3 linked regions of the Saccharomyces cerevisiae S288C genome follow. The gene in region 1 interacts genetically with each later gene. Each region holds a gene or a part of one and is shown in the gene's direction. Other genes may lie near its edges. The genes, in order: UTR5, ROX1 and MOT3.

Region 1 (3,883 bases):
CGCTAAAGATTGAGACAAGATATCGAAAATGTCCTTTTTTTTGGATAGTTTATTGATATTTCTTATATCGAAATCTGTCAACATTTGTCTCGCAGCGACACCCGTGGATCTGGCGTGGAGAGGATACACCGTATTACCTAGGATCAGAGTTTTGAACCCGATCAATGTATTAGAGTTGGACTGGTTCATGCCACCAGCACCAAGCGACTTGAATACCCCGACAACGTTAACTCTGTCACCTGGCTTGGTCTTGTCCACAAGGTCGTCATCGAGAATGACGTCAATGGACCTGGGAAGTTGGCCAGCGGGGGCCATTTCGGGCATTTCTTGCACAGTGATACGCTGATGGTCTATGAACGTACTATACCCATATTCGGTGGTTAGTTTGTTACCTTCAGTGTCCTCCGTTGGATAGATGGCAGGCGTTGGGATGCGGGTGGTGAGAGTTGTAGTAGCATCTGTATAATCTCTGTAATGGAATCTACCAGTCTTTGCCGCGTAGTGGACAGATCTGATAAGCTTTGGCCTGACCAACGAAGTCTTAGTTACGATACCCTCAACAGAGACCAGTTTGTTTAAATGTTGTGCCGTTAGAGTACGAGGAGACAATGCGTGTGCACCAAATGAGCCTTTGAACGAAAGCTTCCAAGGATGGCGAGACGATACTGCAGAGGCATTGGGATGTGGAACATCGTCCATGGAATCTGCTAGGTCAGTAAGCGCCTTTTCGGCAGGCGGGATGAAGTATGCTGGTTCGACTAAAATGCCCGACCAGAACGACCTGTCGAATTCTCTCAAGTCATCAAGCGAGATGATAATCCTGTGAGGGAGTATATTCAATGAGGTGGACGATGCTGCTTTCTTTTCCTTTTCAAGATCATCACCGTCGTCATCACCTAGCAAATCTCGTTCGTCTGCGTCATCTTGATCATCGTTGTAGTTGGCCGCGTTATTGCTGTTGTAAACTTGTATGGACCTTACAGAGTCTCTGTATGAGGTGAAAGTATCTAAAAACTCTTGAAATCTGCGCACTCTGTCACCAAACACAGCGTCTGGAGCGAAAAAAGTAGTAGCGTCTCCATCAAATCCCGTTGAGCCTTCCATAATTGACGTTTGTATCTTTTTGGTGCGCTTATAGTGGAGTTCAATACGAGCAGTAGGATGAAAATGCTTCAAGGAAAAGAGCGTAGGCCTTTTCAACTTGAAAGAAGATTAAGAACCTATCTTTCGAGTTTTGACCAAATTTTTCTTTTTTTTCCTAAAACACGAGTTTTTACCCATTTAGGAAAAGTAATTGTTTCTTCTACCGCCTCGATCTGACGAACAAGGGAAATTGAAAAAAAAGAGAAAAATAACGACAACTGCAGGACTCGAACCTGCGCGGGCAAAGCCCAAAAGATTTCTAATCTTTCGCCTTAACCACTCGGCCAAGTTGCCATAACTCATTGAAAATTCTGTTTCCCACATAGGTCAAAACTAATATTTCCCTTGGCCTGCTCTTCAACCTCCCCCGTTCTGAGAGTTCCCTTTTTTTTTTTTTTTTTTTTTTTTTGAGGGGGAAGCGCCGGATTTGCCACCGACCGGCTGCTTGCAGCCGGTAGATATGCGCACATGAAAATCATCCTCCCCAATGAATTACACTGCCTGCATAAGGAAAAAGAAAAGTGTGAAATACGAATAAAAACAAAGTATATTATTGCTATATAGATGATAAATAACAAAATAAATAGAAAATAAAAAAAAGGATTTATTTGTGTATGCTTTAGGAGAACGAAAAAAAAATTGCAAAGAAAAAAACCCGGTTCAGCGAAGAGTACATGATGTGATGGAAGGGGCGTCGGAGTTTTTTTTTCTTTTTTCATTTATATCCCATGCCATGATGTTAACCGGTTTAATCGGTTCTAGCAGCTTCCTTGAAGGAGATGGCGGCTTCTTCACCCATAGCGGAGATGATGGTAACCATCAAGTCCTTACCTTCATCAAAAGCAGTTTGCAAACTGTCACCCAATTCACCTTCTGGAGCCTTGACATCATCCTTAGTGTCACCGTCCATGTTCATCAAAGACAAGAAACCGTCATCAATGTCCAACAATTGGTATTCGTTTCTCTTGACAACTGGAACTTCCATGTTGTGAGTAGATGGAGACAAATCTTCCAACTTCTTACCAGTGAAGATATCAATGGCAACCAAATGGACTTTAGCGTGACCGTGCTTACCAGTCTTAGAAGTGGACATGTCGACAATCTTACATGGTCTACTCTTGATGACAACGAAACCGTTCTTTCTCAAGGCAGAACATTGCATTGGGTAGGTGGCGGAGGAACCAGCGTCAGCAGTTTCAAAGGTATGTTCTTCGTCAGACATTGTATATATGAGTTGGTATTTGTGTGTGTTTGGGAGTCTATGAGTAATTGGCTACAGAAGTAGAATCGTTAGAAAGAAGGAAAGGAAGCAATTGATAGAAGGAGAGGAATTTAGGAAATGAGGGATTCCAATGTCAAGATATGGCAAAAACCTTGTGCATTATATAATCGTGGAACACGACGATCAACGCGGCCAAAAGCCGATCGACGACGACGACGAAAAAAATTTTTATTACCACTGTTCCTTCACCTTCGAAACTTTTTTTCGGGCGACGGCGTTTCTTTTAGCTCCTGCGGTATGTGCGGTGCGGGAGGTCCCTTGTCGCCTCACACGGACCCGATATAACGCTACGGAATACATCGAGGGGTATGGGTGGATGATATCACTGCAGCAAGGTCTGGGTGTTGCAGAATTTTACCGGCCTTGGCCCCTCAGCGTCCAGCTACAGCGTTATACTACTCCAAGTCGCCGTTCCCGTTTTGCTGTTCTCACCCCTCAGAGAAAATGCCACCAGAACGAAGCCAATGGTCAGGACTTATCGTTACTTATACTGTTGAGCCGGATATATCCGCTGTGCTCTAATACCAGCCAAACGAGAAGGGTAGCGGCAAGAAAGGGTAAACTTTCATGATGAAGTTAGCTAGTTCCTTTTACGATTGCTACTATCTCGTTCAACTTGGCCTGCGCTGTTGATGAAAATAGCAGTGACTGCAGAGAATAGAAATGAACCGGGCTCATCTGGTCTAGTTGCCTTCTTTTTTTTATTTTTTTTCATTTTCCTTTTCTTTTCTTTTCTTTTCTTGTCTCACTATGTTGGTTTAATCAATTCGTAATCCCTTTACCAACGCATTGTGTTCAATTTTCCTCTTGTGTGGGGTCGCCCGCCTTGTCTCATCGTGAAAAAATTGCGTAAGATGAAATCATGAAAACATGAAATAAAAAAAATAAATAAAAATAACTACACGATTCAAAAACGCCAAGATCTGTTAGTAGAGACAGCAAGCATTGCAAAACCATTCATCACTCAGTTGCTAGGCGAGTGTTGGTGCGATTTACCCTCATCATCTTTTTTTCGCTCCATTAAACAGTTCCTTGTGGCTTTCATGCAAAGTGTACGTCCATAATGAAGTATAATAACAGAAAACTCTCGTTCAACCCTACCACAGTAAGTATCGCTGGAACGTTGCTTACGGTGTTCTTTCTCACAAGACTCGTGCTTTCGTTCTTCTCGATATCGCTATTCCAGCTGGTAACTTTCCAAGGAATCTTCAAGCCCTATGTTCCAGATTTTAAAAATACTCCCAGCGTAGAGTTCTACGACCTACGAAATTACCAAGGCAACAAAGATGGTTGGCAACAGGGTGACCGCATCTTGTTTTGCGTGCCACTGAGAGATGCTTCTGAGCATCTTCCCATGTTTTTTAACCATCTGAATACCATGACATATCCGCACAACCTGATTGATCTGTCGTTTTTGGTGAGTGACTCTTCGGATAACACCATGGGCGTGTTACTATC
Region 2 (4,548 bases), on another chromosome or scaffold:
ACTACTAGGGAAGACTTGAAAAAAACCTAGGAAATGAAAAAACGACACAGGAAGTCCCGTATTTACTATTTTTTCCTTCCTTTTGATGGGGCAGGGCGGAAATAGAGGATAGGATAAGCCTACTGCTTAGCTGTTTCCGTCTCTACTTCGGTAGTTGTCTCAATTGTCGTTTCAGTATTACCTTTAGAGCCGCTAGACGATGGTTGAGCTATTTGTTGAGGGAAAACTAAGTTCATGTAACACACGCATAACCCGATTAAACTCATGAATAGCTTGATTGCAGGAGGCTGGTCCATTGGAGATGGTGCCTTATTTTCCTTATAGGCAACGATGATGTCTTCGTCGGTGTTCAGGTAGTAGTGTACACTCTGAATCAGGGAGAACCAGGCAATGAACTTGTTCCTCAAGAAAATAGCGGCCATAGGCATGGATTGGTTAACCACACCAGATATGCTTGGTGTGGCAGAATATAGTCCTTTTGGTGGCGCAATTTTCTTGTACCTGTGGTAGAAAGGGAGCGGTTGAACTGTTAGTATATATTGGCAATATCAGCAAATTTGAAAGAAAATTGTCGGTGAAAAACATACGAAACACAAAGGTCGGGCCTTGCAACGTTATTCAAAGTCATTGTTTAGTTGAGGAGGTAGCAGCGGAGTATATGTATTCCTTTTTTTTGCCTATGGATGTTGTACCATGCCCATTCTGCTCAAGCTTTTGTTAAAATTATTTTTCAGTATTTTTTCTTCCATGTTGCGCGTTACGAGAACAGAAGCGACAGATAACCGCAATCATACAACTAGCGCTACTGCGGGGTGTAAAAAGCACAAGAACTAAGCCAAGATCACAACAGTTATCGATAAAATAGCAGTGTTTGCATGGCCATTGAGAAGGACAACATTGGCGTGCGCGCCAATGTTGTCTCACCATGTAGCTCCAAACGAGTTGTAAGAGACGGACCGCTCACGCTTCCGAAGCGGTCAGAAAACGCTTCCCAGTATGCAGTTGACCTACATTCAACCTGCAAATATTGCTTTGCTTCAAGAAATGATTACACAGACGTCTATTTTCTTCTACATAATGCACGAAACTTGGGCATTTAGTCATGTAGCCGCCTAGCGAGCCTGGGTGCCGTCCTATCTCCTTTGTTCGTGCAAAGAGACAGGAACACACACTGCGTTCTCTTGCGGCCGGTCTGGCGGACTCAGGGGTGCGGCGTTTGCTTAACCGGAGGGAATAATAAAATCGGGGTGACGCAAGTATGAAGTCATGTGTGCTTAGCAATTACGTAGAGGGATTAGAAATAATAGTGTGCGGTTATCGGAACCGGCTCTTGTTCCCGTTTAGAGCAACCCAGGTGCAGGCGTACTTTAAAGTATTTTCTTTCTTTTTTTTCCTGCTACTTACGCTAGGAGCTGCCGCAGCTGCAAAGCCGACGTCGGAGAGGCAGGTGATCTTCGGCTCGGCCGACAAATCCCCTGGATATCATTGGCCTGTCGAGGTATCGGCCGCGTGGAACTACCGGGAATTACTATGCAAAACAATTGGAAATCTGGTAGGAAAACCTTGTTCTAGAACTTGGCGATTGCTGACAAAGAAGAAAAGGGCCTATTGTTGCTGCCTCTTTTGTTGTTCTTCCTCGTATTGTCTTGCCGGTGTTCTTTGTGTCTTTTGTGTGTAGGTTCTTACTATTATAGTGCTCTTTGCTATTATATTTTCTTCGTTTTCACTTTGCGTAATGTAACGGTCTTAAACAAAGTTTTTTTTTTTTCGCTCTTGCATTTTCCTTTTCTGCTCTATCTTATTTGCTAATTGTAGTTTCAGAAGTTTTACTTAAATATAGCACTATTTTCCAGTTTTAATGTTTCTTCTCATTGCTTTCTTTTATAATTTTCGCATATAATTATACATTTACGGTGTCTTAACTCTCCCTCTTCACCCCTCATTATTCCAGAAAATACTAATACTTCTTCACACAAAAGAACGCAGTTAGACAATCAACAATGAATCCTAAATCCTCTACACCTAAGATTCCAAGACCCAAGAACGCATTTATTCTGTTCAGACAGCACTACCACAGGATCTTAATAGACGAATGGACCGCTCAAGGTGTGGAAATACCCCATAATTCAAACATTTCTAAAATTATTGGTACGAAGTGGAAGGGCTTACAACCGGAAGATAAGGCACACTGGGAAAATCTAGCGGAGAAGGAGAAACTAGAACATGAAAGGAAGTATCCTGAATACAAATACAAGCCGGTAAGAAAGTCTAAGAAGAAGCAACTACTTTTGAAGGAAATCGAGCAACAGCAGCAGCAACAACAGAAAGAACAGCAGCAGCAGAAACAGTCACAACCGCAATTACAACAGCCCTTTAACAACAATATAGTTCTTATGAAAAGAGCACATTCTCTTTCACCATCTTCCTCGGTGTCAAGCTCGAACAGCTATCAGTTCCAATTGAACAATGATCTTAAGAGGTTGCCTATTCCTTCTGTTAATACTTCTAACTATATGGTCTCCAGATCTTTAAGTGGACTACCTTTGACGCATGATAAGACGGCAAGAGACCTACCACAGCTGTCATCTCAACTAAATTCTATTCCATATTACTCAGCTCCACACGACCCTTCAACGAGACATCATTACCTCAACGTCGCTCAAGCTCAACCAAGGGCTAACTCGACCCCTCAATTGCCCTTTATTTCATCCATTATCAACAACAGCAGTCAAACACCGGTAACTACAACTACCACATCCACAACAACTGCGACATCTTCTCCTGGGAAATTCTCCTCTTCTCCGAACTCCTCTGTACTGGAGAACAACAGATTAAACAGTATCAACAATTCAAATCAATATTTACCTCCCCCTCTATTACCTTCTCTGCAAGATTTTCAACTGGATCAGTACCAGCAGCTAAAGCAGATGGGACCAACTTATATTGTCAAACCACTGTCTCACACCAGGAACAATCTATTGTCCACAACTACCCCTACGCATCATCACATTCCTCATATACCAAACCAAAACATTCCTCTACATCAAATTATAAACTCAAGCAACACTGAGGTCACCGCTAAAACTAGCCTAGTTTCTCCGAAATGATTTTTTTTTTCCATTTCTTCTTTCCGTTATATTATATTATACTATATTCCCTTTAACTAAAAATTTATGCATTTGGCTCCTGTTTAATAAAAGTTTAAATCGCCTCAAAAGAACAATTGAAAAATATGTAAAATAACAGCAAATAAAAGTCAAAATTAAAACAAAGTACCCAGAGACAAAAAAGAAAGAAAAGAAAAAAGAAACAGTCTACAAATTCTATTTGAATATATAAAATTATATTCTCAATTTTCACGTATATATTCACCTCACAAATAATATCATTCCTTTAAAAAAAAATATGTATTATTGTATAATGTTTCAGCATAGTCGTTTTTTAAGCCCTTTTTTTTAAACTTAAAAAACAAATCAATGAGATATTGTATACCTATATTATCGATAATAAAGCGACGAGGATGGACTGCAAGATATTGGTGTTAGGCGCAGGTGGTCTAGGATGCGAAATCCTGAAGAATTTGACAATGTTAAGCTTTGTTAAACAGGTTCATATTGTAGATATAGACACAATCGAGCTAACCAACCTTAATAGACAATTTCTTTTTTGTGATAAGGACATAGGCAAACCGAAAGCTCAAGTGGCAGCCCAGTATGTAAACACGCGGTTCCCTCAATTGGAAGTTGTGGCGCACGTACAGGACCTGACCACTTTGCCCCCGAGCTTTTACAAAGACTTCCAGTTCATAATCTCGGGGCTGGACGCCATTGAACCTCGTCGCTTCATCAATGAGACTCTCGTGAAGCTTACCTTGGAGTCCAATTATGAAATTTGCATCCCGTTCATAGATGGTGGAACAGAGGGGCTCAAGGGACATGTAAAAACAATCATTCCAGGCATCACTGCATGCTGGGAGTGCTCCATTGATACCTTGCCCTCGCAGCAGGATACTGTGCCAATGTGTACAATCGCCAACAATCCTCGCTGCATTGAGCATGTTGTGGAGTATGTCTCAACTATACAATACCCTGATTTAAATATTGAGTCTACGGCGGATATGGAATTTCTGCTGGAGAAGTGCTGCGAAAGGGCTGCCCAATTTAGCATCTCAACAGAAAAATTATCAACAAGTTTTATCCTGGGTATAATAAAGAGTATCATACCTAGTGTAAGCACTACGAATGCGATGGTTGCAGCGACATGCTGTACGCAGATGGTTAAGATTTATAATGATTTAATCGACCTGGAAAACGGCAATAATTTCACTTTGATTAACTGCTCAGAAGGGTGTTTTATGTACAGTTTCAAGTTCGAGCGGTTACCCGACTGTACTGTTTGTTCAAATTCCAATTCCAACTAGTATTACTAATGAATAATACCATCCGCCGGTGTCACTTGTTTAAACATCTTGCAAGTAAGTCGAGATCCTAGAGAGCCTTGTACATGTGATTGCACAGTAAAGAAGGTATGCAGGCTAAATTATTGTTT
Region 3 (4,548 bases), on another chromosome or scaffold:
TTTTTTGATCTGGTACAATTGAAAATGTATAAATCAACTGGACCCTAAAAATAAAAAAAAAAAACGCCCATTAGAAAAGAGGATATATTGAACAAAAGATGTTGAAAGAGCCCTCAGTTCGCTTGCGGGAGGCTATTATTGAAGGCAATTTACTTATAGTGAAAAGATTATTGCGACGGAATCCGGATTTGCTAACCAACATAGACTCAGAGAACGGATGGAGTTCATTACATTACGCCTCATACCATGGAAGATACCTTATATGCGTGTATTTAATTCAGCTGGGGCACGACAAGCATGAACTAATAAAAACCTTTAAAGGAAACACCTGTGTGCATTTAGCATTAATGAAAGGGCACGAGCAAACCTTACATTTACTTTTGCAACAATTTCCGCGATTTATCAACCATCGCGGAGAGAATGGTAGAGCCCCCATCCATATAGCATGTATGAACGATTACTACCAATGTCTGAGTCTGTTGATAGGAGTTGGTGCTGATTTATGGGTAATGGACACTAATGGCGACACGCCGCTGCATGTATGCCTGGAGTATGGCAGTATAAGTTGTATGAAGATGCTTCTCAATGAAGGTGAGGTGTCCTTGGATGATAATGTCAGGGACAAGGGAAATTGGAAGCCAATAGATGTAGCACAAACGTTTGAAGTAGGTAATATATATTCAAAAGTGTTAAAAGAGGTGAAAAAGAAGGGGCCACCGTTGGGTGCAGGCAAAAAACCAAGTTCATTCAGAACTCCTATACTAAATGCGAAGGCCACTTTCGAGGACGGGCCTTCCCCAGTTTTAAGCATGAATTCGCCATATTCGCTCTATTCCAATAATAGTCCGTTGCCGGTATTACCAAGAAGGATATCAACGCATACAACAAGCGGTAACGGTGGGAATCGGAGGAGTTCTATCACAAATCCAGTATTCAACCCACGAAAACCAACCTTGTCTACGGACAGTTTTTCGTCAAGCTCAAATTCCAGCTCGAGACTAAGAGTGAACTCCATCAACGTCAAGACTCCAGTAGGTGTGTCGCCCAAGAAAGAGCTTGTATCTGAATCAGTACGACACAGTGCAACACCAACAAGTCCGCACAACAACATCGCGTTGATTAATAGATACTTGTTGCCTAACAAGAGCAATGACAACGTGAGAGGAGACTCACAGACAGCTACAATCAACGATGACGGTGGCGGCGGCAATGGCGGTGATGCCACTATAGGAATGGGACTAAGAAAGGACCCGGACGATGAGAACGAGAACAAGTACAAGATTAAGGTAAACAATGGCGAGCCGAGGAGACGAGTGTCACTTCTGAACATACCCATCTCAAAATTAAGAAATAGCAATAACACGCGTGCAGAAGATTGAGAAGACTACTACGTATTTTTTTTTATATGCATCCTTTTTTCCACATATGTATGCGCGGTGCGCGCGCGCCATTAAAAGATTTTTTTCTTAGCTCTTTTTCTTTTTTCTTTTTCTTTCCACTGAGATGCGTTCTTCGGTATATAGTGAGAACACTTACAACTGTATACGAACATCGAAGGAGCACCTAACAGAAAGAAGGAGGGTCGCCATGGCGCCAATGTTCCAACATTTCTTAAACTTATGCGTGGAAAAATTTCCTGAATCCATCGAGCACAAGGATACAGATGGAAACGGTAACTTCACCACCGCTATTTTAGAAAGGGAGATTATCTACATCCCCGAAGATGACACTGACAGTATTGACAGCGTTGACAGCCTCAAGTGTATAAACTACAAGCTGCACAAATCTCGCGGCGACCAAGTGCTGGACGCCTGTGTGCAATTGATAGACAAGCACCTGGGCGCCAAGTATCGCCGGGCCTCGCGCATTATGTACGGCAACAGGAAACCATGGAAGGCAAACAAACTCGCAGAGATGAAAAGCGCCGGCCTTGTGTATGTCTGTTACTGGGACAACGGCGTGCTAGGTGCATTTACTTCATTCATGCTTACAGAGGAGACGGGTCTCGTCGAAGGTGACGCTTTACACGAGGTTAGCGTGCCCGTGATATACCTTTACGAAGTACATGTAGCTAGCGCGCACCGCGGGCATGGAATCGGTCGGCGGCTACTGGAGCATGCACTGTGCGATGGCGTAGCTCGACACACCCGCCGCATGTGCGACAATTTCTTCGGTGTAGCACTCACCGTATTCAGTGATAACACTCGGGCCCGGCGACTATATGAGGCGCTTGGGTTCTACCGCGCTCCGGGATCACCCGCACCAGCATCACCCACAATTCGTCACACGCGACATGGTGGGGGACGTGTAGTCGTGCCCTGCGATCCGCTTTATTACGTATATTGCCTTCACATGCCGTGAAAGCCGACAGGGACAACGCGCGATAAAAAAAAAATTAAAAGTAAAACTACGTACGCGGCGGCGCGACTCGAATCCTTGACTCCGACTGAGGAGACCCGAACAACGCTCCCTGCTCTCCGCCTTCGGCGCCTTCCGATAACTGCGCACGGCAAGGAGTAGTGGCGATAACGGTGTTTATTGCCGGTTTTTTCGTTTTTCTTCTTGATTTTCTTCTTTTTTTTCCTCAAAAGATGTGCTGTAGCCTCCGCTGTTGTTTTTTTTTATCCTACCAAGGCGCATCATCCTGTCATGATCTGCGCTGGATAGTATTTATACTACTACTCCGTCTGGATTTACTAAACTTTGTCTCTCTTTTGATGTAAAGTTAAAGAAGAATTACGAAAAAAGAGAGAAAAAATAGAAACAAATAATAGGAATTAAGGCCTTGTAGCAATCAAAAAAAAAAAGAAAAAAAAGGAATTTTTTTTGGAAGAAAACTTGAACAAAACAATTCCTCAAGAAGGAACAGGTACAAGAAAAGATTTAACAGAAGGAAAACTAATAGGCAACAGTAGGCAAATAGTAAAGGGACATATCATATTTGAGCAATGAATGCGGACCATCACCTGCAACAGCAGCAGCAACAGCGACAACAGCATCAACAACAACAGCATCAACAACAACAGCATCAGCATCAGCATCAACAGCAGCAGCACACGATATTACAAAATGTGTCGAACACTAACAATATCGGCAGCGATTCGCTGGCGTCACAGCCTTTCAACACGACTACTGTTTCCTCTAACAAGGACGACGTTATGGTGAACTCTGGGGCAAGAGAACTTCCAATGCCCTTACATCAGCAGCAGTATATATACCCTTACTATCAGTATACAAGTAATAACAGTAACAACAATAATGTGACGGCTGGTAACAATATGTCTGCGTCGCCGATTGTCCATAACAACAGCAACAACAGCAACAACAGCAATATTTCTGCTTCTGATTACACTGTCGCAAACAACAGTACTAGCAATAATAACAATAATAATAATAATAACAACAATAATAACAATAATATTCACCCAAACCAGTTTACTGCGGCCGCAAATATGAACTCAAATGCTGCAGCGGCTGCTTATTACTCCTTCCCCACTGCGAATATGCCAATACCGCAACAGGATCAACAATATATGTTCAATCCTGCTTCATACATAAGCCATTACTATTCAGCAGTTAACAGCAATAACAATGGTAATAACGCCGCTAACAATGGCAGCAACAACTCTTCTCACTCAGCCCCAGCCCCGGCCCCCGGTCCACCCCATCACCATCACCATCATAGTAATACACACAACAACCTCAACAATGGTGGTGCTGTAAATACAAACAACGCTCCTCAGCACCATCCAACGATAATAACGGATCAATTTCAATTCCAACTACAACAAAACCCTTCTCCAAATTTGAATCTCAATATTAACCCGGCACAACCTCTGCATCTACCTCCTGGTTGGAAAATAAACACTATGCCGCAACCACGTCCTACGACAGCACCTAACCATCCCCCTGCGCCGGTGCCTTCTTCGAACCCTGTGGCCTCGAACTTGGTTCCTGCCCCATCATCAGACCATAAATATATCCATCAATGCCAATTTTGTGAGAAGTCTTTCAAAAGAAAATCATGGTTGAAAAGGCACCTATTGTCACACTCGCAACAAAGACATTTTCTATGCCCTTGGTGCTTAAGCAGGCAGAAGAGAAAAGATAATCTTTTACAGCATATGAAACTCAAGCATACAAATTATTTATTAGACGAACTCAAGAAAAACAACATCATCTTTAACTACAACAATTCTTCCTCCTCTAATAATAACAACGACAATAATAATAATAATAACAGCAATAGCGCTAGCGGCAGTGGCGGTGCCGGTGCCGCGGCGGCAGCAGCAACAGCTCCCGAAAATGAAGATGGAAACGGTTACGATACAAACATCAAGACTTTAATCAATGATGGTGTACTGAATAAGGACGACGTTAAACGTGTTTTGAATAACCTTATTGTTAGTCACAACAAATAGATAGACTTTATAGACACACAAAATATCCCTTCCCACTCATTTAACAATCAAGATAATAGTAATAATCACAAATTTAGAAAGTAATTATGCATATATACATTATATACATATAGTTTATGTATGGTAC

The links.
Region 2: of UTR5 (region 1) and ROX1, a mutation in one rescues a mutant of the other (synthetic rescue), as found in Saccharomyces cerevisiae (2 studies listed by BioGRID, with this or other methods).
Region 3: of UTR5 (region 1) and MOT3, a mutation in one rescues a mutant of the other (synthetic rescue), as found in Saccharomyces cerevisiae (one study listed by BioGRID).

Annotation. Positions count from the first base shown.
Region 1 is NC_001137.3:84,158-88,040, reverse strand, and holds UTR5 (Utr5p), read left to right. Parts: upstream 1-2,495; coding exon 2,496-2,996; downstream 2,997-3,883. Other genes in the region: MCM DNA helicase complex subunit MCM3, read right to left, coding at 1-1,104; MTC7 (Mtc7p), read right to left, coding at 1,443-1,862; HYP2 (translation elongation factor eIF-5A), read right to left, coding at 1,892-2,365; ANP1 (Anp1p), read left to right, coding at 3,489-3,883.
Region 2 is NC_001148.4:677,693-682,240, forward strand, and holds ROX1 (Rox1p), read left to right. Parts: upstream 1-2,000; coding exon 2,001-3,107; downstream 3,108-4,548. Other genes in the region: YPR063C (uncharacterized protein), read right to left, coding at 120-501, 588-628; YPR064W (uncharacterized protein), read left to right, coding at 1,259-1,678; NEDD8-activating protein UBA3, read left to right, coding at 3,521-4,420; ISA2 (Isa2p), read left to right, coding at 4,528-4,548. UniProt on the Saccharomyces cerevisiae protein: Transcription factor that represses the expression of HEM13, COX5B, ANB1, CYC7 or AAC3 (hypoxic function). Binds to the DNA sequence 5'-RRRTAACAAGAG-3'.
Region 3 is NC_001145.3:406,206-410,753, forward strand, and holds MOT3 (Mot3p), read left to right. Parts: upstream 1-2,948; coding exon 2,949-4,421; downstream 4,422-4,548. Other genes in the region: AVO2 (Avo2p), read left to right, coding at 99-1,379; NAT4 (N-terminal L-serine N(alpha)-acetyltransferase NatD), read left to right, coding at 1,504-2,361. UniProt on the Saccharomyces cerevisiae protein: Transcription factor that affects the expression of a large set of genes. Recognizes and binds to the consensus sequence 5'-[CAT]AGG[TC]A-3' in the promoter region. Plays a major role in the repression of a specific subset of hypoxic genes (e.g.